Drosophila melanogaster: one gene and its partner. Changing the gene in region 1 together with any one later gene gives a genetic interaction. Each region holds a gene or a part of one and is shown on either strand. Other genes may lie near its edges.

The links.
Region 2: of unc (region 1) and dila, changing one enhances a phenotype caused by changing the other (phenotypic enhancement), as found in Drosophila melanogaster (one study listed by BioGRID).

The regions. Positions count from the first base shown.
Region 1 is NC_004354.4:21,107,440-21,120,397, reverse strand, and holds unc (uncoordinated), read left to right. Parts: upstream 1-3,483; 5' UTR 3,484-3,682; intron 3,683-3,768; 5' UTR 3,769-4,054; coding exon 4,055-4,364; intron 4,365-4,657; coding exon 4,658-4,942; intron 4,943-5,057; coding exon 5,058-6,622; intron 6,623-6,729; coding exon 6,730-7,367; intron 7,368-7,430; coding exon 7,431-7,727; intron 7,728-7,789; coding exon 7,790-8,855; 3' UTR 8,856-8,984; downstream 8,985-12,958. Other genes in the region: CG15445 (uncharacterized protein), read right to left, coding at 140-619, 736-1,536, 1,627-2,082, 2,783-2,902; stg1 (stargazin-like protein), read right to left, coding at 9,275-9,930, 10,047-10,675, 11,128-11,513, 11,874-12,091, 12,161-12,301.
Region 2 is NT_033778.4:9,820,117-9,831,666, forward strand, and holds dila (dilatory), read right to left. Parts: upstream 7,091-11,550; 5' UTR 7,010-7,090; coding exon 6,698-7,009; intron 6,645-6,697; coding exon 5,249-6,644; intron 5,191-5,248; coding exon 5,073-5,190; intron 5,011-5,072; coding exon 4,873-5,010; intron 4,810-4,872; coding exon 4,389-4,809; intron 4,188-4,388; coding exon 3,532-4,187; intron 3,476-3,531; coding exon 3,049-3,475; 3' UTR 2,966-3,048; downstream 1-2,965. Other genes in the region: CG34033 (uncharacterized protein), read left to right, coding at 453-563, 622-1,017; CG30001 (uncharacterized protein), read right to left, coding at 1,144-1,263, 1,321-1,571, 1,630-1,774, 1,831-1,982, 2,039-2,167, 2,231-2,325, 2,389-2,498, 2,548-2,640 and 1 more; hebe, read right to left, coding at 8,311-9,681. UniProt on the Drosophila melanogaster protein: Cilium-specific protein with a role in cilium/flagellum formation. May be involved in transport of components into the growing cilium.

The DNA of each region.
Region 1 (12,958 bases):
GGAGCTGAATGCCACTTAAGTGCCATTATAAGACTACGATTTGCAATATAGACAAGTCATGATTACAGTTATCTTGACAACCGGTTTCGGGTTTCTATATTTTTTTGTATAGATATAAAAAAGGCAAGTCAAATACAAGCTACTGCTGCAGCATATTGAAATACTCAGTCAGGATCTTCTCCTCCTGGATAAGTGGCAAGTCCAGGTATTCCAGGTCGCTCAGTTTGAGGTCGGAGTTAAAGCGCTCGTAGGCCTTGTACGTTTCAATCTCGACGCGAGCATGATTGATAACAGCTTCGATAATGGGCGCTGGCAAAGCAACTTGCGTCTGCCCGGAGGCGTTCGAAGTAGAGGGGCCGTCAAGATTTTGCCCACCATTTTCGGCCAAACGCCCAACGTGCTTTAAAATCGCTTTCAGCTCCTCCTCGCTCTCTATGGCGCACATCAGACTCTCGATGGCCTCTTCCATGTTATTTGATGCATTCTGTAGGGCCACGCGCGAGTCGTTCTCGTTGAATCCCAGTTGCAGAAGCTGAGCCAGTTTGGTCGTGTCTACGGTGACCGGAAACCATGGCGAAGCACCAGTAAGTTCGTCCGATTCTGTCTGCAGCAGTTCCACCTAAGAAAAAAATATTTCTATTATTTTATAGTTTACAAACACGTGACATCCATGAGATTATAGTTAAAACATACTGATCAATTCATGTCATTGAATATATTCTTGGCCACACTTACCGCTTGGAGGATATCATTATTAGAGCGCTGCAAGGCGATAGTGGCCAGTCCGCTCTCGAATCCCATGTCAGCAAGGCTGCAGACACTGCGGGGATTCACCCAGGTGCAATCTTTGGAATTGGAGCGCTTCAGGCGGCGCTCCATAGCACGCTCGGACGCTTTATATTTCATGCGTGCATTCTTGAGCTGCTGACGACGCTCGTGAATAAACTGAACAGCCTGTTCGACGGCGGTGCCGCCCTTGCAGGAGCGCAGGGCCATACGAGCCTCGGAGGGCTCGAAGCCCATATCGACCAGGAGAGCCAGTTGGTCGTTGTTGATCTTTAGTTCATTTAGCAGAGTTTTAGCCGCTTCGAAGCACTCAAATGCCTGATTGCGAAGATTCTGGTGGAAGAAGATCACGCCCTGGAGCAACTTAAGCCGCATAATTAAAGCCCTCTCGGGACAGTCCTTGCCCTTCAAGGAGTACAGCCTCTCCAAATTGTCGCCATAGCTGATGCCGAAATTGCGACTGCAGCGGGCCAAGCGATGCTCAGCATCCGGGAGCTGGGTAACGTTCTTCAGGCAAAAATAGCACCACACTATGTCGAGGTTCAGCAAAGCATAGTTATCCACGGACTCTAGAAACTTTGAGCCACAGGTAGAAAAATGCTCGTCGGCCTCCAAAAGCAGGAGCAGAGCCTCCTCAAAATGCTTGCGATTCATGGCCGCACGGGCCTTCTCACAGAATCCCAAACCCATGAGCAGGGCTTTATGCTCGGAAGGCGGCAAATACACTTGGCTGCCATTCTGATCCTCCATCTGGGCATGACACGAAAATACAAACAAGTGGTGTGATTTAAAAAACCTTCTAAACAACAACCTAAGCAACTTTCCTTCCGATTTACTCACCTCTATTAGGTTATTCTTCGAGGACACCACCGCCTCCACATCGGCCTTGATGCGATTGATCCTTTCGTACAGGGCTTCGCCAGAATTATCCCCATCGCCCACAATGACAATCAACTGCTGGTTGTTCTTCAACTGCTGGTCGGCCAAAGTGGCATTGGCGGACACCACTTTGCCGGCAGCGATGCACTTGACGTGCGCAGCATTCGGCACTTCCAGTTTCTTCGCTATGCATGCCTGGAGTTCGGAGCCCACGATGTCCAAGCTGCACTTCACTTCCACCATTGTGGCACCGCTGTGCTCGCCAACGCGGCGAACCTTCAACGTGGCAATTCCTGTGGTGCTGAACTCACGTCGGGCGGCCAGCGTACGGAGAGCATTTTCCTGCAGCTCGGTCAAAAAGAACTTGCAGCGACCTATATCGATGCCCAACATGCCGGAGTACTTCTGCGCCAGGTTCTTTAATGAAATGGATACACATCTTATTATAGAATAAAATATTATATATTATATTAATCCAAAGCTACTGAGTTCCTGAGTATGAATGCTGGTAATGTGCTATTCTTTTGACTACTATTGGTCTTACTTTATTTTTAAAATCCCTCAACCTCTATTTATTGAAAAATAAATAATAATTCAAGAAAGCAATCACATTTTCACACGCCAACAAATCTATCGGTTTAAAATCTTATTTTTATTCTAGGCGTTATAAATAAGTCGAAGCGAAACAGATCAAAAACCTATATAAGGAAACTAAATAATATCTTTGTCGTTACTCTTGTAATTCAGAATTATTAAAGTATAATAGGAATTTAAAAGATTCGTTTGTGCAATGTCATGTTGTTTTTTTTTTAAGTATTTTTAATTGGACAATAATATCATATGATCAAACTAATCAAACTAAAATAAGTGTTAATAATATGAACTTAGCTGAAGGTGTATATAAGTTACGGCTTGTCGAAACTAGCTTCTTACTTCTTCAAATGTGAAAAGAACTAACAAATAAATATATAATATATATATATATATATATATATAATATATGCATTTTGAATATAATATTTCTATATTGCCAACCGTATTTCAGGCATTCTTGTCATTTCCCCGACCACTGACTGGAAGGCATTTAGGTGTGGGGTGGTGGGCATATAGTACGTACTTCTAGTGCTCCCTCGATGCTACCAAGATCTTCGGAGTAGTAGGGCTCCTCCCACAGCTTCTCGCCATCGGACTGGAGAAGGGCGCGGATCTGGATGAGTAGGTTGTCGTTTTGTGACATTTTCGACGATGACTTGGCAAAAATTGTGGCGAACTGGCTGAAACTGACGCGTCACAAAGGATCGGGCATGCTCTAGATATTTACTATTTACGAGTGATGTGATGTTCTGGTTCTTCTTCTTCCTTGCACATGTGTTTCTACACGAAACAACAAAGAACGATGCGCAGTCGTTGATAATCGCGGGGTTGGGTGCAGTGGAGTAGACTTTAATTTTGGGCGGGTGACAAATAAGAACTATTTACGGAAATTTATTTAATGTGAACTGTGCTGCGTCTTCGTATGGGATAAGCTCTGCCTGGTGGAATCACCGCAATTGGGTCTTTTTTGTCGTTTGACACAACAACTGCAACTCGATAGCTATCGGCTCTTGCAGCACTCGGCCATCTGTCAGCCACAGCGAAACGCTTGCAAAAGCTGACTGACATGAACGTTCTGCCCGTTAATAGTCAAAGTCTTCAAATTTGGTTTTTTATAAAAACGCATTGGCAAACACAGCTGTGCTTGTTGATTTATATTATATTATTTCTATACCATTTAACGCAAGAAACTCATATTTCAGTTTCACCGTCAGTACGGCTGATGCACTTACTACTTAGCAATCAGCTGTTTTGCGGACAATTATCTATCGATAGTCAACTGCCAACTTTAAAGCGGAACTGTTTTGAATTAAAATTCAAAATATTATTATTGTGAAAAATACACCAAATACACGCTTCCACAAGAAGTATTGCTGTTTTAATATGGGCTCGGCAGTAAATACTGCCGCCGTTATAAGTATTAGTGAGCAATTACTTATGATAAATAAGCTTTTGCTTAGAATACCATTTCATAGAACTCAGTTGTCATATATTTCACTTAATTTTTAGAGCACGCTTCACATAGGCAACACAGCTGACGCCTTTAGGAGGACCAACCCCCGACGATCGAGTTGACCTCCTCCCCAATTTCACTCAGTTCCCAGGTGGCAGGGCAGGCTCCGTCGCACCTGTCACATTTCGCTGTTGGTGGTGAGTGTCTTGCGCTCGTGCTCGTTTTACCTGGAAAGTTCAGTTACTCAAACGCGGCGCATGTAAGCGGCGGTCAGAGGTTCTATCCGAGCATACGCAGACCAACTCTCGATCCCATCCGAGCCTCGAGTTCCTTCAGGACGGCATGAAGGTTCGCCACGTGCCGGCGAGCACGACAACGTTATCGTTCAGGGCGAAGCAGCGGGATGTGGGCGGCATCGGCATGCCTTGCGAGCGGGAGCGGAAGCACGAGGCCGCAAAGCGGGAGCGGGAGGAGCAGATTAAGCAGGAGCGGGCCACAGCGGCGTCGGCGACACAGCGGGTGCGCCAGCATAATCGAAGGATCAGCACCGACGGCGATCCCGCCAGGCGGAGAATGACGCAGTCCAGGGAGCGACTCCAAGCAACCGGACTGGGCAGACCAGGACCGTGCGGACCATCAAATATAACTAGAGGTGGGCCTATTATTTTTATAATAATATTAATATTTTTATTATTATTATTATAAGTATTATTATTATTATAACTATTATTATTATTATTATAATAATTATTTTTATTATTAATATTATTATTATAACTATTTTTATTATTATTATTATAACTCTAAGAAACCAGCAATCTTTATACTCCGACGTACACAAATTTGTTCGAAAAATAATCTTTTCAAATTAAAATATTCAGTACAATAAACCTTTACGAACTTAATAGCGATTCATATTCACTGATAATCCCATTTTGTGTTCAGTAACGCGGGGATCATCATTGCCCCCGGAGGTTGGAGCACACGGATACCGCACAGGAAGGCCTACCAGAAAGCACGTACCTATTCCTCAGGATCAGATTGAGGAGCAGGATGACTCCGATGCCAGGGCGGAACGGCTGAGGCAACAGCTCGAGGAACTGGCCGCGATGTCGGAGCAGGAGTTCGAGGTGAAGTTCCGCCAGTGGCTGGACCAGGAGGGGATTGCCCGGGAGATGCACTCTCACCTGCGGGTGGAGCTCATTCACTGCTTCAATAATACGGCACTCGGTGGGTTTGCTAATCAAACTAATGAAAGATATTTTACTATTTGGCATCTCAAAGTTTATTGAAAACCCCCTTTTTAATTTATTAATCGATCTAACCATAAATGTACCCGTTCCAGGCCAGCTCTTGAGCAAGGCTGCTGGTGTGCAGATGGCTCAGTCCCACGCACTGCTCGTCTCGCCACTGGCGATGGTGCTGCACACTCTGGTGGCGGAGTTTCTGCACTCCCAGAACTGCCACTTCACACTGTCGGTCTTCTGCAGCGAGACGCCGCATCGCAGCAACCTGCCGGACTTCCGGAGTCGGCCGGAGTTCCGATTCCAGACGGAGGAACTGCAGAAGGTCGTGGCCGCCATACTGGGAGAAAAAGAAGCTCTAGCGGATTCGGAATTTGGAAAGCTGGCGGAGGCCCACTACGAGGAGGATCTGGCTGGACAAACGCAGTGCTTGCTGATGGCTCTTATGCGAACGCTGGTGGAGATCAGGAGGTCCGTGCCTAAGCAGGAGGTGGAACAACCGGTCCCTGTCTCTCTGCAAGACACCGGCTGTCAAACGGAGCCCTCTGCCTGCGTGGAAGCTCGTCCCGAGGTGGACACCACTGGTCTGTATCAGACGGAGGAGCACGAGCTGATTCTGGGCGCAGATGGCCGAAGTGTCTTTGTGGGCGGTCGTGTCTCGCAATCTCTGCATTCCGTGGAGCAGCAGCTTAATCAGCTGATTAAGAATCTCCGCCATTTGGCCAAGTCGTGTGCTCCGCCCGTTGAGGTGATATCATCGACAAAATTCGAGGATCTCCTAATGAAGGAGCTGCGCGAAAGGGAGCGACTTTTGAAAGCTGGTCAAGCATTTAACCCGGGCGAACCGGTGATCAAAATTGCCACCGGGGACAAGGAAGAGGAGCATGAGGTAACCAGTGGCAGGAACCAGAAAGATGTGGTTCACTCCAACCTGGGACCCATTCAAGTGCCAGCCCTGGATGTGACCATTCCTCAGCTGCCCCGTCTCCACAGTGAACAACTGGCCAGCCTGGCCGTGATCCGCCAGTCCCTCGAAAAGGTGCAGAAAAAGAGCCGGCAGCCGCAGGGCCGGATGTACGTCTCCATGGAGCGAATGGAGACCCTGATGGGGGATGTGTGCGGCTGTGTCCAACTACTTAGCAACGTTCTCAATCTCTCCATGGAGCAGGAGCACTCTGTGGGCATGCACAAGGGCTTCAAATGGGGCTACCGCGAGGGTTTTGCCCACGGCCACTTCATGGGCCTGCAGGAGGGTCAGAAACTGGAGCAGTTGGAACAGAAGAAGTGGCAAAAGGAAAGGCCACTGCCCGAGAAGCGGGAAAGCTCCGTGCAAACGGAGAGCACGATACCCACGGCGAGTATAGCCACCCAAACATCGAGAAAGTCAGCTCACAATGAAAGTGTCATCACCCAAACGGAGCAAAAGCAGCTAAAGGACGCTGGGAATCAGGCTAGTTGCGAGCCGCCAACCTTCCAAAAGTCCTACGAACAGTGGATCCACGAGATGCTGCACAGCTCCAGTGGCCAAGTGTTCCTCGAACGGGTGGAGCTCTCCTTGAACAAGGCGCTGGAGCTGCAAAAGGTGCGGCTAAATGAACTCTTCCAGGTGAAGTTGCGACACCAGGCCGAGATGCTTCGTCTAAGCAAGCGGCAGAACTCCTGGCGGGTAAGTCTCTCGAGAATTAAAACAACAATAAGCTGCAGCCATTATATTTATTCTGCAATCGTATTAACTTTAAACCTTTGATTACTAACTTTGTATTCGAATTCCAGACCCTGTGCAAGCGTGTGGAGCGGGACTCGCAATCGTCAGCGGAGGCGCGCGACCTCGTGCAGCAGATCTTCCGGCTGCTGGAGCACTACGAGGCACACCATCAGCAGCTGGCGGAGAAGATCCAACAGACGGAGCTTGCAGCGGAGCAGGCGGCTCGCATCATGCCCATGTGGGCGGATGGAGCTGCTGTGGGCTCCGCTTCTGTCAACTGGAACACGGCGATGTCTACCACGCTCATTTCCAGTGGGATCTGCACTCCGCCTCCGGCTCAGCCTGCCGCTGATGGTGCGCTGAATGTTGGTAAGACCCATGTGGAACAGCACACGTATCCTGACCTGGGATATCCCTATCAATTGTTGGCATTAGCTCCGCCAGGTGGAGTTCCAGTTGCAGGCACCTTCGTGCCAGTGACTCACCTTCCTGCCCACTTGCTTGGGGCTTCTGAACACCCTGTTCCTCTGGTCCCAGTTGCAAGGATCTACAGTGATCCTATGAAAACGTCAAGACGACTGCTTTCTCCGAGTAGCGTTCCTGCAGACAATGACAGTGCTCATCGCGCAGCCGGCGAAACCAATGCTTTCACATTCCAAGGAGGCCCCGTATCTGGGGATCTGCATCCAACTGAAAATAGAAACCAGTGAGTTTTTAAATTTACAAATCGTTTACTCCGTGTTAAGTCATATATGTGGGTTGTTTCTAGAGCTCCTGCTACTCAAGGACAACAGTTTCCTGTTCCTTTACCTGTTCCTGCTCCTCGGGGCCCTTCACCAAGTGTACAGAGTGTTTTGCCCTCCACTGCATCACCGGCACTTCCGCCGCCCGATGAAACGGTACCTCAACCAGGACCTTCCCAATCTTCTATTCCTTTGAAACCGTCAATGCACTCGGTGGCCACCAACACGATAACTCCAGTGCCTCCAAAGGCGACGCCTCTCAAACCGGTAAATAGCAAAGTTTCAGAAGGTCCGAGCTTTGAGGAGGCTCTACTAAGTGCCAAGTAAGTTTGTGAATTTCATGTACTTACGTATAGCATTCCTAAAATAATGTAACTTTCATTAGAAGCCGAATGCTGCAGTTGGAACAGGAGAGCGACCTATTGGAACAAAGTTTCCTCAGCTACCTGGAGAAAACCAAGTCGAAGACATCCCCCCACAAGTCATCGGAGGATGCCGCAAGGGCCCGGAGAATCCGCTCCAGCTGCCTGCGGGAACGAGAGCAGGTGCATCGCACTATGGACGGTTTCCGGGATTGGCATCGACGCGTTCGCAAGGAGGACGCAGCTAGTGTGGCTCAACTGGAGGAGCTGCGCAACCAGCGACTTATACCCGATCCCATCTTGGACTCAAAGGGGTCGTCACCGCTGTGGCTATCGGAACTGGAGGAGGGTCACGAACAGGACAGCTATCCCTTTACGAATGCCATCACCGAAGCTAGGAACAAGGTGCTGGACAAGATAATGCCAGTCAGAAAGGAGGAGAAGAAGGAGAAGCAAAACGTTAAGAAGAATTGGCTAGCAGATTTGCCATTTCAGATTCCTGAGGCATCTCCGAAACAGGATCGCCATCTGACCAATGTTAAGCCCGCTGTAACGCGAAGCAGCAGCAATGGTGAGATGAACGTGCTCCTCCAACGGGCCAAAGATGCCCTCGGCCTGAGAACACCAAACCCACTTCTGGATAGCAGCAGCAGCAGTTCCAGTATGGAGCTGCCCTCCATGGGTGCCGGCAGATCGCCCAGTACAAAGTTCCAGCAATCCATGGCCAGGATGCAGATGCTCTTTGGCGGCGCAGAGGCCGTAAAACCTACAATGCCCGCCAAAACAGGAAGACCTGTGAGTGCACCCACCGCAGCATCGGAACCGGGGTTGTGTGCACATTTGGTGCTCCCGAAACGCCCCCACACGGCTCCCACTCTTCACACAATCAACGAAAATGAACCAGCTGTTCATCATTTGGATGTCTCCACTTCCAGTTCTTCGCAAAGCACTTTGCCCGGGAGATCGTCGGGCGAAGCTTTCGAGGATTTGGTCATGAGCGCCGTGGCGGATGGAGCCCGGCGGCGGAATGCGGAATCTAGCACGGAGGTTTCGTACAGCCAGGCGTTCTGGAAACGCATAAACCTGTAAAAAAAATCTAGAATAGGTGCTTAATATGTTCAAACTGATTAAGTATATATCTATTTAGGTTCCAAAACTCTCTTTATAGAGCAACAAAATAGTAATAATACAATTAATAAAACTCATTGTTTTTTGGCCAAAATTGTGCGCATTTATTAATTTTTAAAGACCTATTTCGAATTTTACTACTCTTTTTTCACTTGTGTATGTATACTTTTGATAGATTTTGTGGGCCTGATTGTGCGCTTAGTTTATCAATTTTTTAAGACCTGCTGGGACCATCTATTATATATATTGTATATAATCATTAAATAGTTTATTTTTGCAATAGACATATACTTATTCTTTTGTCACCTTACTTCCGAAAAAAAATGCTAGCTCTTCGTTTCTTTGGCATTATTGATTACGAGTATGTGGTTGCGGGTATCTTAGACGGCGGTGCCATTGATGAGATCGTAGGGATCCCTCACCTGACCCATTCCAAATAGACTGGCATGGGATCGCCGTCGCTCCCGCTCGATCTCGTCCAGGTCGAATGCATCGCTCACAAAACTGGACCTACGCTGTTGATCGTCGAATGCGTAGCCGCGCTGGAATTTCGGTGGTCCGGAGACCGAAGCCGTTGTCCCAGGTGCTCCACTTCCGGATGTTGGAGCTGGGTAAATGGGCTGCGGATGCTGTTGATAGCCATTCGAGTAGTTCGACGGCGAGGAGGGAATCGCCGTGGGCCACTGCACTTGACTCTTGGGCGCCACCACCTGGGGCAGTGTCAACGTGGAGGACACGAAGCGATTCTGCTGCTGATTCAGCATCAGCTGGGAGAAACGCTGCTGACTGGAGCCCAATGGATAGCCCTGGGAAGCCAGCGAATCGGACGACTGTCGCAGAAAGCAGCGCGGCAAGGTGCGACTCTGGCCGAGATCAGCCGGCTGTGGCAGGGACATTCGCATGCCCGGATAGCCACCCGTTCCGGGGAAGCTGAGATCCGTGTGCAGGGACAGATTCGAGTTCAGTCTGCGCAGCGGCTGTCCCATGGAGTCCACGCACATGGACGTGCGACGCGGCACCACCAATTGGGCATGGTCTGGAAAGAAAGTATACTTTTCTATTAAACAGAAGTTTTAATAATCGTAATGAAATGATACTCGAATGAAAACAATCTATTGTAACAATCAAAAACTGCCCAGAATAAAACCTCACCTCCCACCACATAGAGATGTTCCTCCTCCATGCGGTTGAACTGCCTGAAACCGTGGTCATCGCCATCCGCGTCATCGTCGTCATCGCGATGCGGATCATCCGGAACTTCCTCCCGCTTGGCCTGATCCTCCTGCTCCTCCTCCTCCGCCTCATCCCCGCCACTGATGTAGTAGATGTTCTTTGGCTTGCTGCGCATACCAGCTCGCCGACAGAACTCCTGGAATAGCTCATCCTTGGTCTTCCGGAGGCCACGCTTCAGGCCACAAAGACGCGACTGATCTGCCATCTGCGAGTTGGAGGATGGGGGATTGTTGGAGATCTTCGTGTTCGTATTAGTGGCCATGTTCCGCTGCTGCTTTCGTTTCATTTGAGCGGAGGGCGGAGCTGGAGCCGAAGATGAAGCTGGATATATTTCCGTGGCCGTAGATACGGATCGGGTGAGTGGAAATTCCTGAGGCAAGTCGGCGAACAGGGCGGGGGCAGGTAATGGGTCGGCAGCGGAAGGGAGAAGGGGTGCGGGAACATGGGTGGAGGACACGGACGTATCCGTGCAAAGCTCATTCAACGACTTGGCGAAGCTGCGCGAGTGCAGATTACACTTGGACACAGCTGGCTTTTCGAAGTAAAAACTAAAACGAAAAGGTTAAATACAATAGCTTATGAATGGCATTCATCAATATACATACATACATATACATATGTATTTATTATACATTAAAAAAGAAAAGAACGTCTCTTCTTGTCTATCTATCTTATGGTACCTATTAAATACCTAGTCGAAGAGAGGAAGATAGTCAAAGCAAAAAAGCGATTTTTTGTAGCAAGCATAAATCGAATGATTTAGCATGTACATAGAAGGCGGCTCTTTCATACTGACGGACAGACGGATGGACACATGGACGAACATCGACACCATGTGGCATTCATGTGCAATCAAAAAAATAGTAGCTTTTGAATTCATTTTAGCTAAGTAACGGGTATCTGGTAGTCGAGGCAACCGACTATCGAGTTATCTCTTATTTTCATCATAACTTAACAGTAATTGTCCAAATTAAAATTCGCTAAACACCTAATTGCTTACCGCCTCTCCAGGTCATTATGCAGATAGAGATTTAAGTTCGATCCGGCATTCGGATGCTTGCGACATGCTCCTGGTAGTGTTTGCGTCTGTCCGGAATGGCCAATCTGTCCGGTCATTCCAGGGTGTCCTCGTCCCGCATCGTAGACCTGATGGAGTCGGGAATTGCCACTCCTCAGGATTCCATGTGGTGGCTGCGCCGTCGGATGCGGTTGGTGCGTCGGGTGGTGACTCTGGTGACCCTGTTGACCTTGACCCGCGCTACTAAGTCCTTCCTGGCTGGCTGTGGTGATGCCGGGCTGCTTGTACCGCTTGTAGGAATCACTCAACGGATGCTGGCCCTCCTTTAACTTGGCGTGGATGTTTGCCACACTAAAACAGGGCAAGCGCTGGAGGGAAATGTACGTATGGAAATAAAGTATGTGAAGAACACAGAGAGCGCAGCAGAAGATGCAGCTAATCCCGAAGGACGCATCCGGCGACGCTTGCATTTAAGTTGGTACGTTTCTGCAGTCAAGCGCGAGAATTACGAATCACGAGGTGGGCTATTCCTAAGGGGATTGTACCACCGGGTGCACCACCAACACAAATGCGACGACTGTCACAGATGCAACTTTAAAGTAATGCCATCGAAAAGTTGTTCAACAATTGCTTTTAACAACAAAAGTCATAATATAAAATGAAGTTAAAATAATAATGGCAATATATCCAAGCGTTATGAATTGTTTAAGACTAGCTCAGTTACTCACACTGTAGTAGCTAACCTCCTGCAAATTGATGAAGAGGAATATATTCAAGACCCCAACGAATTCCGTGACAATGAATCCAAAGACGAAGAGGAAGAAGCTCTGGCCATAGGAGACCTTGATGAGGGCTGGCTGAAGGGTGGACCGGGGTCTTAACTTCGATCCGATTTCCGCCTTCAGTATTGATATATAGGCAATCAATCCAATCAGCATCACTAGACCTACAGGATGATTACGCAATTTCGGTGTCATTATTATGCTTAGACCCTTTCAAATTTTTCAAAACTCACCACTAACAATGAAAAGAATTCCCGCGCTAAAATAATACAGATTGTTTTGATGCGAGCAAGTGGGGATTAGAAAAACTATGAAGCTGATCACTAGAAATACACCAGCAGCCAGGAAAATAGGACACGACTTGGTGACCGTATCTGTAAGTAAAAATTTTCTTACGTTAGAATATATTTTAAATAAACCCATTTTAAACGAATTTAAGACCTGTTTCTGTATACATTTACATGCTTCAAAAAACCCATTAATTGTATTTTTTTTTTTTTTGTATTCGCAACAGTGCTTTCGTAATAAATTAACTTTAAAAATCGTGACCATGTTTTTTTCCCCTCTATTAAAGAAAACACTAGTCTGGCTGGCCCATGTTTCTGACTTTAAGGCTTTTGCTTTCTTTTTGTTTTCTCTTTGACCTGTCAACGAGTGAGAAAATATCCTGCGGCTAAGCAAAAACACGTACAGACAGAGACAGGACCTGCGAAAAATCCGCACGCACAGCGACATCCATTTTTAGCCGACTGTTTAATAGTTTTATTTTCGAAATTCTCCCCTGAGGCCGGTTTCAAATTAGTTTTGACCGCTCGGACAAAACAAAATGAATGGGAATATTTGAAATCGATGGCCAATTGTGTGAAAATTAATGGAATTTCAATCGGGTGTGGATATTGGTATTTTCGATAGAGGGCGGTAAGCAGTTTAATGTGTTTATGGGCTAGTTGGCATCGCCTGCCATGGAATGTGGGCGAAATTCTTTTAATGGATATTGAAAATGTTCAGCTATTGTCGTCATCGCCTGACTT
Region 2 (11,550 bases), on another chromosome or scaffold:
GTTTCACACAAACTAAAAACTAAGAGAAGAGCGCCACTCGTAAGAAATATAGTCCACAAGTGTCTAAAAATTTACAGTTGGCAATGCCTTTGGTGGATGTAAAGTGGTTGCACTCTTATCGGCTAGGTGGCGCTCTATTTCGAGAGCGATAGTCGGGGTACTACAACCGAACCACTGGTTAGACATATACGGTGCTGCCAACTTTTGTCAAGAAAAAAATCAGTTAGATTTGAAATTTTGCAAAAAAAAAAAATGGGGAATTAATATATAAATTATAATTTAGCAAAAAATTGTGGTACCTGCTTAGGTTAAGGTATATCAAATAATATGGAAAGGTAATTTACCACAAACCCTAATTGTTTGCACCATGGTATAATGGCATTAGTGAGCTATACCAAAACGAGCAACTTTCGAAATCCATCAGTACTGGTGAATACAACAAACCGAAAGAAATGAGTCAAATACTACGCATGCTTTACTGTCTTCCCATTTGGCTGCTGCTGCTTTTGCGTGCTGATGAGGCAAACGGTAAGGGCATATGCCTGTATTTCAGTGAAAAAACAGTGAGTAGACTTAACTTAAGTCATTGAGATTGGAAATTTCAAAATTACAATACCATAGGCTTCTTGGTTTAGTGCCCTGACCATCTGCAAAAGCCTCCACATGTGCTTGGCTGATCTAAACACCGAAGTTACCCTATTCCAGATGAAAAGCAAAATAAACCAAGACGACCACGAGTACTGGTTTGGATTGAATGCACACGATAAGCCCACCTACAGATACGTTTCGAACAACAAGTCCATTGAGTACTCGCCGCACAATTCAAAGCTGGTGAACAACGAAGGATGCGTCTATGTTAAACAGCAAAACGACTTTTTCAAATTTGAATCGGCAAAGTGTCGCGAACACCGGAGATTCATCTGTACTAAAACCGATGAATGCGATGGTGTTAGCATGAAACATGGAAACTCAAAATGCGTCATAACCGCAGAGGAAAGAGATCTTGTAGCCTACTAACTTATAGTTTACTGCAGACAAATAAATGGTTTTTGGGACAGCATGAGCATAATACATTTTAATGAGTTTCAGTGTTCAGTGCGAGTATCCTGAGTATTTTATTTATTGAATAGCACCACCTTGCATCTAGTCTGTGGAAGCCTTTCGCTTTGCCACCGATTTAAGTTGAGCTGCATGAGCCCTGCACTTAGTTTTGTAGGCCTGAACCAGCCGCCCACCAGGTGAAATGGCAATTGACACATGAATCTGAAGGAAATTATTCAATAAGTATAGTTGCATCAAATTATTTCTATTTTTAATTACCTCCAGGTATTGCAACTCTTTTTCGTATGGTAAAGACTCCTCCAAGAGCCTTAGGATTGTCTGAAACTTTTCCGTGCCCAATATGTACGTCATTTCACCAATGTTCTGCTTGTACCACTTCGCATAGTTGTCTAGATTAGCACGAACATCCATGGTTGAGGCACAAGCAGCCCTTGCAGTCAGCAGCAAATGAAGCAAGGATCCCAGGGAAGCCGTGGATGCAGTTTGCAGAAGTCTATTTTTCAGATACTCTGCAAAGGAAAAGATCACTTTTCCTAAAAAGCAATTATACTACAGAAATCAATATACTTTTAATGTATGCGGTGGTTTCAGGATTGGCTGCGCTTGCGATAGTTTGCACAAGTATTAGATAGAACTTCCACTGATTAAAGTTTTCCGTGTTTGACTGTTTGAATAGATATTGAAGGGCTGCCTGCTGATGGCTAGCAAACATCTGCAAGTAGAATTCAATTAGGACAAGATACATAGCTCGTTTTAAGAGAACATAACCTTATCGCAAAGGTGCTTTACAAAGGTTAGTTCGTCGACGCCCTCATTTATCCAGGCGCTAAAGCTGGCGAATGCCTCGTCTACATTCTCCGATCGGTGAAGATCCAACAGGGTACTTAAATGCATGTTCATGCAAACATTTAGCGCTTCATCTGAATGGGTAATAATTTAGTTACTTGCATATCATGCAGTGCAGTAAAAAACAAACCTGGCAGGGTTTTGCACAAGAACTCCACATATGCCAAGCTGCATATCTTGGGATTGCCAACGAGGCCGGAATAGAGATTCCCCAAAGCGCTTGTCAGTATCAAGGTTAGCTTCAACGCAGATTCAGCATCTGACGGTGTATAAATCAGTAGAAATGGGGAAATAGCTAGAATCAAGATCAAGAGAAACCAACCGTAAGCCGCTGAAAAGAAAACATTTGCGAGAAGTTCGAACTCAGATTCCAGGAATATGATCAGGTCCACCTGCAGTTGATCGGAGTCCTCCTTGCTGTGAATTCAGTTACGGATAAATGGGGGTCCGTACATCTAGCAGCTTCTTTATGAAACCCACCTAAAGATGTACTGCGTGGCCGTCAGGATGCGAAGTTCCTGTAGCTGTCGGAGAACTCGAAAACTGCCGACATTCGCTGGCAGTTGGCAGAAGAACTTGGAGGCCAGAAACTGCACAGAATAGGTGTGATTACGAATATCTCTTCTTCAATCTACTCACCTTTTCTGTGCCATTCAGAATCTTCAGTAGCTCGGCAAATTCGTATTTTTCAAGAGCTCCCAATTGTTGAATTCCGCATTGCTTTTCTATAATCTGCGTAAAAGACTGGCAATTAAAATGAACTCATTTAATGTGTAGGATGAATTGCTTACTCTGCATACGAAGCCAAAGCTATTGCCGATATTGGTAAATCCTCTATTTTCCTGCACATATTCCATTATAAAAACCTCCAATTATAAAAACATTCAAAATGAACAAGTATTGTTTTTGTTGACCCGCGTGTAGTGTTACCTCAGCTATTGTGGCTGAAAATACCACACCGCTTTGAGAGGAATCGGTTATTTATAGCACGCTTATCGATTTCATTTACAGCCGTTACAATTATTTAAGTCCATTTACATTTTTCAAAATCATTTTTAAGCCATTCGTCACTCATTTATTAAAAAACCTTCCTAATAATATTTAGCTTGGAGGTCCCATACACCTATTTCGAGTAATTGTCTATTTAACACAATAATCCTTGCGCTGCTGTCGTATGACAGCGTTGAGCTTCAGACACTGCTGCCTGAGGGCATCGTTGTCGCCCTTCAGGATCTCAATGGTCTCCTCCTGCCGCTGAATGGTCTGGTGGACGCGCTTCTGAAGCTGATCCATCTCCTGCTTGTGGCGCTCGTTTAGCACTCCCAGCTCGCTCTGGATGTCCGCGTTAAGGTTGTCGCGCAGTCTGTCCCGCTCCATGATGATGTCGCCGCACATCTTTTTGCTGTGGCTCAGCTCCAACTGCAGCTGTTTCACCTCCGCCTGGCTGTTCCGCACCTGGGCGTCCGCCTCCGCCAGCTTGCCGCGAGTCTCGGCATACTTTTCCCGCAACGACTTCTCGACGCTCTCGGCCAGAACTAAATCCTTCTCGTACTTCTCCTTGAGGCGACTGAAAATATTGGGCTTAGGAGGGGGGCTCATATTATTTGGCCTGCATGTACTCACTTCATCTTTAGCTCGTGCTCCTCTTTGTGCTGCAGTGCGTCGGCCTCCATCCGCACCACCAGTTCGTCTAGCTGACGATCTCTCTCCGCCCGGTAGTGTTGCCTTATGGCGTTCTCCTTCTCCGCCTGGGCCAACTTGGTCTTGTTTTCGTGCTCCGTCTTCCACAGCTCAAAGTCAGCCTGGTACTGCTGCTCGATGGTGTTGACACGGTTCTGATACTTCTCCTCCTGCTTGGCCATGCGCTCCTGCATTTCAAACTTTGCCTGCTCCAGCTCTTGCTCCTGTTCCCGCAAAGCCTCTTGTCTTCGGGCTTGGTGCTCATTCTCCCGCTGCCGTAGTTCTGACTGCAGGCGATCACGCTCTGCGGCAAACTCCTCGGTCAGTTTCTGGCGCTGCTCCGCCTGTGTCCTCTGCTCCTCCTCCAGTTGGCGCTCGAATCGCTCCCGGATGGCAGTGCGCTCCTTCTCGATAATGGCCTCACGATCTTGGGCGCAGCTCTCGCGAATGCTAGTCTCGATCTGCTCGTGCTTCGTGCGTGCCTCTTCCAAGGCGTCCAGCAACTGCATCTGGTGGGTGCGCTTCAGCTCGGTCACCTCGCGTTGGTGGTCGCAGTTCATTTTGTTGATCTCCGCCTCCAGGCCCTTAACAGTAAGTTCCTTTAAAATGAAGTAAATTGGTGATTATTAATATAATGCTATGTAAAAAACTACTAATATTCTGGACCCTATCATAAGTAATAGTTTTGACTAAACTAAGATACTAATTACTGATCCAATGATGGAATATTCCTAAGCCATTCTTTATATGTGCAACTTTAAAGGATAACAAGAATCGAGATCCTTAAAGCTAACCTATACCTTAATTTTCTTGGTGTTCTCGCGCACCCATCGCTCTCGCCGGATCTTTTCGCCCGCCATGGTGGTCTCCTTGGTCCTAGCCAGCTCAGTTTCCAAGCGGTGCTCCCATGCCTGGTTCTGGCTCTCCAAGCGACGCGTGAGGGCCGCCACCTTCTCGCAGAGGGAGCCCTTGTCCTTGAGCAGCTGCTCGATGAATCCCTGGTGGCGGGTAACCACTTCCTCATAGTGCTTCTTCTGATCACGCAGCTTGGCCGCGGCGGTGGATTTTTCGGCCCGCAGGCTCTTCTGCTTTTCGCCACGCAGCTGGAAGACGTGCTCCTTGGACATATGGATGGCATTGGCCAACTCGTTGGCCCGCAAGCTCAGGGCAATGACCCTTCTGGCAAGCTGATGGTTGGGCAGCATCAGCAACTCGGATAGCCTGAATTAAAGGGTAAGGATAGTAAGTGAAGAACTTCAAGGGAATCCATGACTCTTCACCCACTTGGGCACCTCATCGGTGACATCGGGCTCCACCACGAACTCCACCTCCGATCGATTGCTATCCGGTATGGAACGACGTGTTTCCATCAACGTCTTGTCGCAACTACTCTCCACATTGTTCAGGTAGGCCAGGATGTCCCTGTTAGGATACCATAGTATATAACTGGATGGATACCAATGTGGTAATTTGTATTTACTTACTTGTACTTATCTCCACTTTCGGGAACTTTACCTTCACTCACAGTCACTGTGTCGGCCGTCTCACAGCGGGAATCTAGGTTTAGGTTCAGTTCGCTGGGGATTCCCTCGGAGAAGTTGTCTGTCAAGGAAATCAAATATGAGGAACGTTCCCTTCTAGATCCAAACCAGTAACTAACCCCTTTTCTTGTCCTCTTCGATCTCTTTGATGACAGATACTATTTCATCATATGTCGAGTCCCTGGAGTCCTCATTCGACTTTAGGGACAACTGGGAGGCGGTATCATTGTCCTGTGCCTCGTCCAGGTCCTCCAGTCCTGGCTTGTGCTTGCCATCGTATTGCTTCTGGTCCTGCATGCTCATCCAGCTGTCCACCTTGTCGAGATTGTACTCTGAGAGTTTCCGCTCCTCTCGTAGGCTGCCCACACTGATGGCCTTCTTCATCTTACCCAGCGGAGCTGGATTGATTGTGGACTTAGTCACCTTGGATTTGCTGCTCCTGGCAATTGGATCGGCACTGGCGGGCTTTACGTTCTCCTTTTTCTTGCCCACAAACGGTGGTGTCGAGGCCACCTTTAGATAGTTATTAATGACGCCATCGGAGCTGCCATTCGCAAAGGATCTCCTATCATCCTGCACTGCTGGCAAAAAGTTATTCTCTGCCCCGAAGTTTCTTGGGTTGCCAACGGGTCTGTAGACGACGGAACCGTTGTTAACAGCGGAACTATTGGTCGCCATGTTCTTGGTCTCGGACAGATTGTTCTGTTTCTCCTTAGTGGGAGAAGCGTACTTGTCCAGATAGTTGGGTAGTATCTCAATGTTGTTCAGGGTGTCAGTTCCCAAGTGGTTCTTGACCACTTGAACGCCTTCCACAGCCTGTTTATACTCCCTTATAACATCTAGCTCCGATGACGGAGCCTTTGGGAGAGTGGGTGTGGGACTAGTTGGTTCCACTTGCTTGGAGGACTCCATAAACCGGCAGCTTGGAGCATCACAGGCACACTTAACGTCCGATGCCGATGCCTCATTGGTGCTTGTGGTGGAAGAGGATCGCGTGCTGCATGTACAGTTCTCCGAAGGGCACTTTGGATACTCGTAGGTCTCCGCCAGAACTTCTCCCTCGGCTGCAGTGGATCCAAAATGCACGGACTTCTTCTGCCCAACGGGATCGGCTTGTTCCACTTTGCTCAGGAAACTGGGAAGAGTTAGAGGACCCGGAGCGGAGATGCTGGGACGCACTTCCTGCTTGTCATTGTCGCAGTCACTGGAGTCCAAGTCCGCGTGCATATTCGGCTTGCTGAAGGACACCCTTCCCGGAAGATCTGGCTTGGCGGTGCGCTGAAGAAGAGCCCCGTTACTGAGGCCCTGATTTCCAGAGTACGAGGAGTAGGATTTTACCTTCTCACCAACTGGCATGTTGACCAGGAACTGCTCCCCCTCCTCGCTGCTGTCGGGAGTGCGTTTGTGTAGCGAGTAGTCGGACTCGGAGGAGTTGCAGGTGCTGCGGCAGAGCCAACTGCGCTTGATGGGCTCCTCCAGCAGGGATTTCAGCAAGTCGTTCGACGAGACTTGTCTCTAAAAAGGTAATATTACAACACCGATGACCGCAGGGTGTTAAACCCACTCACCTTGCCGCCGTTGCGCAGCTCCTTCTCAACAAAGTAGTTGCTCAACCGACGACCGAACTTGGGGTCCGCCGACTGAGGTCGTCCCAGGAAAGGCGAGGAGCGACTGCGCTGCTGCAGGAAGTTGGCCGAGCGTGGCCGGAAATGGGGACACGGATTGTGGAGCGTCGTCAGCGAACGACTGGTGTACTTGGGCTTCGTTTTCTGTCGTGTGGCGAGGTTTATCTGCGGTTGACCACTCTTAGTACCTAATCCAAAAGGGGGTAGACCATGTCGCTCTGAGCTTACCTGAGAGCCCTTAAGACATAAATCCATAATAGCTTAGAATTAAGCACTCATTTAGATAGTTTTCGAACTGAATGCCCTGCCATAGCCTACTGGTTTTCGAAACGGACTAACTCCAGTTTGTTTTGGCCAACGTGAAAAACCGCCACCACTTTCATATCGATTAAACGCATGTGCTAGCCACGAGGGTCAGGAGCAGGCCAGATGTTGGTCAGCACTGCAACCCCCGGAAAAAACAGGCGGGTCGAAGTTGACATGGTTACCTTAGTGGTGAACCACCTGAGCTACCTGAACCACCTGACCCACCCTCGATCGCCGGAACAGGTGTCGCGTCCTCTGCATGATTCACCACTCCGTTCCCAATCCACACCTCTCCACTCCACTTCATCCGACTCCACTCGTTTATTATTTTATTATTATTCGTGTCTCCCAATCAATCACCGACTATGGCACACGGGCAAACCAGCGGAATCAAAACAATTAATCACGGAGAACAACTGATTGCGACTGGAGCATATCGATGCGAAGGTCACCGCACGGGGTTCAATGCTAGACATCGGCAAACACTTTCGGTTTTCATTCACCACGTCTAGAAACTCACTGACTGAGCTCGTGGTCTTAGCATTTTCGGGGGTGCTATCTGTGCCGACTTATGGGAGCATTACTCTGACTAATTGTAAACATATCTTAGATTCCAGCAAAGAACATAGTAATTCCCCATGAATCAAAGGCTGACTTCGGCGGGCAAAGCCCTGGAGATCTAGAGATCTAGATTTCCATATAGCGATACGCAACTCAATGCGCCATTTAAGACACTTCGAGTTCTAAGACAACATTCCCCCATGGGACAATTCGTTCGCCTGGGGCAAACAAATATAGTGTTATCTTTGTGGAACAAGTTAAGGTACTCTACGTGACAGTAAATACACACACTTGTGGTGGAGCACCCTTATCGAAGACCATCCAGTGACCGCGAGAGGAATATTCCAGCCGAAAGACGCGCGGTTTCAATATTAATTAATAATTTATTTAAATAAAGCAAATGGTGTCTATTGCAATACACGTAGTTTGGTCTAGCTAGTCCCGAAATGACGCTTTGGGGACCGGGCCTCCATGGGTGGCTCTATGGGGGATTAGGCTCTCCAGCTCCAGCTCCAACTCCGACTCCGACTCCATTCTCGATACTGACTGATGCGCGAAGCATAAAATTAAATTTGGCAACATTTCTCGTAATCAACTTAGCAGCTAACACAAAATACAACACAATATAGTTGATGGTTTCTTGTTTAACAAACAAATTGCACTACTTCTCATCTTGATCCGCCGATCTTCTATTCCGCCCGCAGTACGGGCGTCACCTGGACCTCGTTCTGATCATCGCTCTGGATGTCGAACTTCAGCTTGGTCAGCTCCTTGAGCTCGCCATTCGATTCGGCGGGCACCTCGCTGACCACCTTCACGGTATCCGGATACTTGTTCTCCCCGCTGCCCAATTCCTGCGAGAAGCTGACCACGGTCTTGGGTTCGTAGTTCACTCCCAGGGCGCCACTGGGATCCGGAGTGGGTATGCTGGGTCCATCGCTACTCTGTCCGTTGGTGTGCGAAATGGTAATGGCATCCGCCTCCTCCTTATGACCATTGGTGGCAGGAGCAGCCTCCTCTTCCTTAAGGCCATTGGTGGCAGGAACAGCCTTCTCCTCCTCCTTCTGGCCATTTTGCACGGGAGCAGCTGGCTCCACCACCTCCACCTTGGCTTCCACGGCTGCGGGAGCTTGAGTGGGCTCCTCTACCACGGCCTCCGCCTTTCGTTCGGCTGCCACTGGCTCTGGAGTAGGTTCTGGAACTGGCTCAGGGGTGGCTTCCACCTCCGCCTCATCCTCTCCTGCCACTGCCTGGTTAACTTGCTCAATGGCCTTGGCCACTTCTTCGGGTCCTACGTCAGAGTTCTTTGGCTCCTCACTGTGTCCATTGCTTACAGGGTCCTCTGGTTCGGGTTTAGTGATCAGGGCAGAGGTGGTTACAGCGGCCACCTGAGGCTGTACCTCCACCTTCTCCTCCTCCTCCACCTTCTCGGCCACGGGAGCGGGAATCTCGAGGGCGGGCACAATGGCCGGACTGGCCATGGTCTCCACGAACGAGGTGCGATTGGGCGAGTCCGGCGAGATCATAACGTGCGTGAAGTAGCCGCTGCGCCGGCTCTCAAAGTCCAGCACGTTCTCCTTGGCCAGACGCTCCTGGATGAGTCGCTGGCGCCTGATGAACTCCGGCACGTTCTCGTCCTCGCCCTCGGCGGGTGGGGGTGAGTCCGCCACCTTGGGTCGTCGCAGCACGACCTTGGCCACCTCGTTCTCCGACTCCGCGGTGCCATTGCCATTGGTGCTTCCATTGGTTGCCCAAGTGGCCGCGGCATTCGATGGCTTGAAGACCCCATTGAACTTGGTGCCCACTATGAACTTCTGGCTGTTGGCCACGCTGCTGTTGGCGCTCTTGTAGGCGTTGTAGTTGTTGTTGGCGCTGGGCTGGGCGGACAGTGGGTTTCCGTTTCCGTTCTCGTCGATCTTCGGCGACTTGGCGATGGTGAAGTTGGGCTTGCCGTGGCTGATCAGCAGCTTGGTGGCCGGCGAGGGACTCTTGTCCGGCAGAGGCGAGGGCAGTCCGCTGCGGATCTGTATGCTCGGCTTGTTGTTGATTGTCTCGGCCATGTCTGTCTGCCTTTGAATCTGGTCGTGATCGGGGCTTTTACTTTCCGTTTCCGTCGTTCGCTCTAACGGTGAAAGAGAAGAAGACAAAGCCAATTAATAAAACATTTGGGAGAGCAGAAATTAAATCATTCGCATTCAATCATGCAAATTCACAGGCATAATCATTCGAGGTGAAAGAGAAGAGGGCTTCGAGTAAAAACGAAAAGCGAATGGACCTCCGGCTAATTGCAGCAATTTTGTTTGATTAGCTGAAACTGACTTGAGGTTAGTAGCGGAATAATATCTTATCGCAGACCCTTAACGATTTACTGCTAAAAACTTGAACTATATGTGCACTATAAGCATTTTTTGTGAATGATTGATTAGGTTCCACTGAAAGAAAAGAGATGATTCATGGATCAGGACAATTATTTAAAATGTGATAGTGCATCCGGCGAACACTTTGTAATTCACTTCAGGCTTTCCTCAGAAACTTATCAATAAACTGGGAAAAAAAAACCTTTATACTGTTGTAAATACTTTTCATTTCTACCATCCCAATCGCTTGCCAATCTAGTTAATAATAAAGCGAAGCGCTTCGTTCTGCCAACTCACTTTCGCAAGCAAACAGTTTGCAATCGTTTCACACGGCGTATGCGTAATTACGCAATACCAGTCATTGGCAGTGGCACTGGCAGTGAGCATTCCAGGGTCAGCCAGTGTCTATGGGTCTATTGTAAGGCCCCCAAAACAAATACCGGCTGATTGCTGATAGAGCTAAACTTGCTTAAATATCAATTAGATCGATGGCACACTCAAATACCCGGGGTTTGTCCAAGTAAAATGGACTGGCGCTCGCCTGCAAACCTAATTGTCCGCCGGATCAGATCGATCAAGCCCATGTGACACTGGTGTCCATGCCAAAACCCATCAGTTGACCAAAGCACGTACACAGTGCGATCGCAACTGATAGGAATACATAGACCACTTTCATTGCCAACCCATTTCCATTTGCATTTTCCGTCGCTCTTCGACGGGCTAATTGAATTAAGAGCTGCACTTTATGGACCTGCATGCCACTCGTAAATTCCAGACGCATTCGATTGCCCCGGGAAAGGTCAGCTCTCCGTTTCGCCTTTGATTTTCGCCTTTTGATTACTCAGGGGCTCAGGGGCGGTCGAGTCACAATGAATATCTAGTTCAATTTATGCTACTCGGTTAGACTTGGCAGTTTAATTAGCAAAGTGTAGTTAGCTTTATATGGATAAGTAACCCTTACTATTCATTTCGATTGTAATGTGCTGAGTAAGCAGGAATATCCCATAAACCCGTCGTTTCTTGAAATATTTATAGGGCTATAATCAGGCCGTAATCTTTCAAGATTATCTGCAGATACTCCTACTGAGTCAGAGGGCGGCTCACATAGCTTGGCCCAAAATTGTATAATTGACACAGTAACTGTCTGGGCAAACTGGCCCACCAAAGAGTTTATTACAATTTTTTCCCCCAACCTGTTATTGGACCCCATGACAAACAGTAAAACAATGTCTGGCACTGATAAAAGCGAAACGAAAACGAATTTGTATCCGAGTCTCGGATTTTCGAGTGTTTCAACTCTGCCGCCTGGCTTACTGGCAAATGAGTCTTTTTTATTCGTTTCTGACTGCGTGCGAGTGCTAATTGCGCACAACTGGGATGAAACTCTGGCCAAAGATCGCTGCCACATAATTCCCAAGAGCAATATTTTGCTTTAGCCCTCTGTATTTGCTATTTGTGTTAGTATTATTTTCCCACTTGGCGGCTACCCGGCAATCGACCAATTGGCCTTGAAATAGCTGTTGTGTACGGCGGCATGAAGTGCACTGCCGGCTATTTTCGTTACCAATTTGC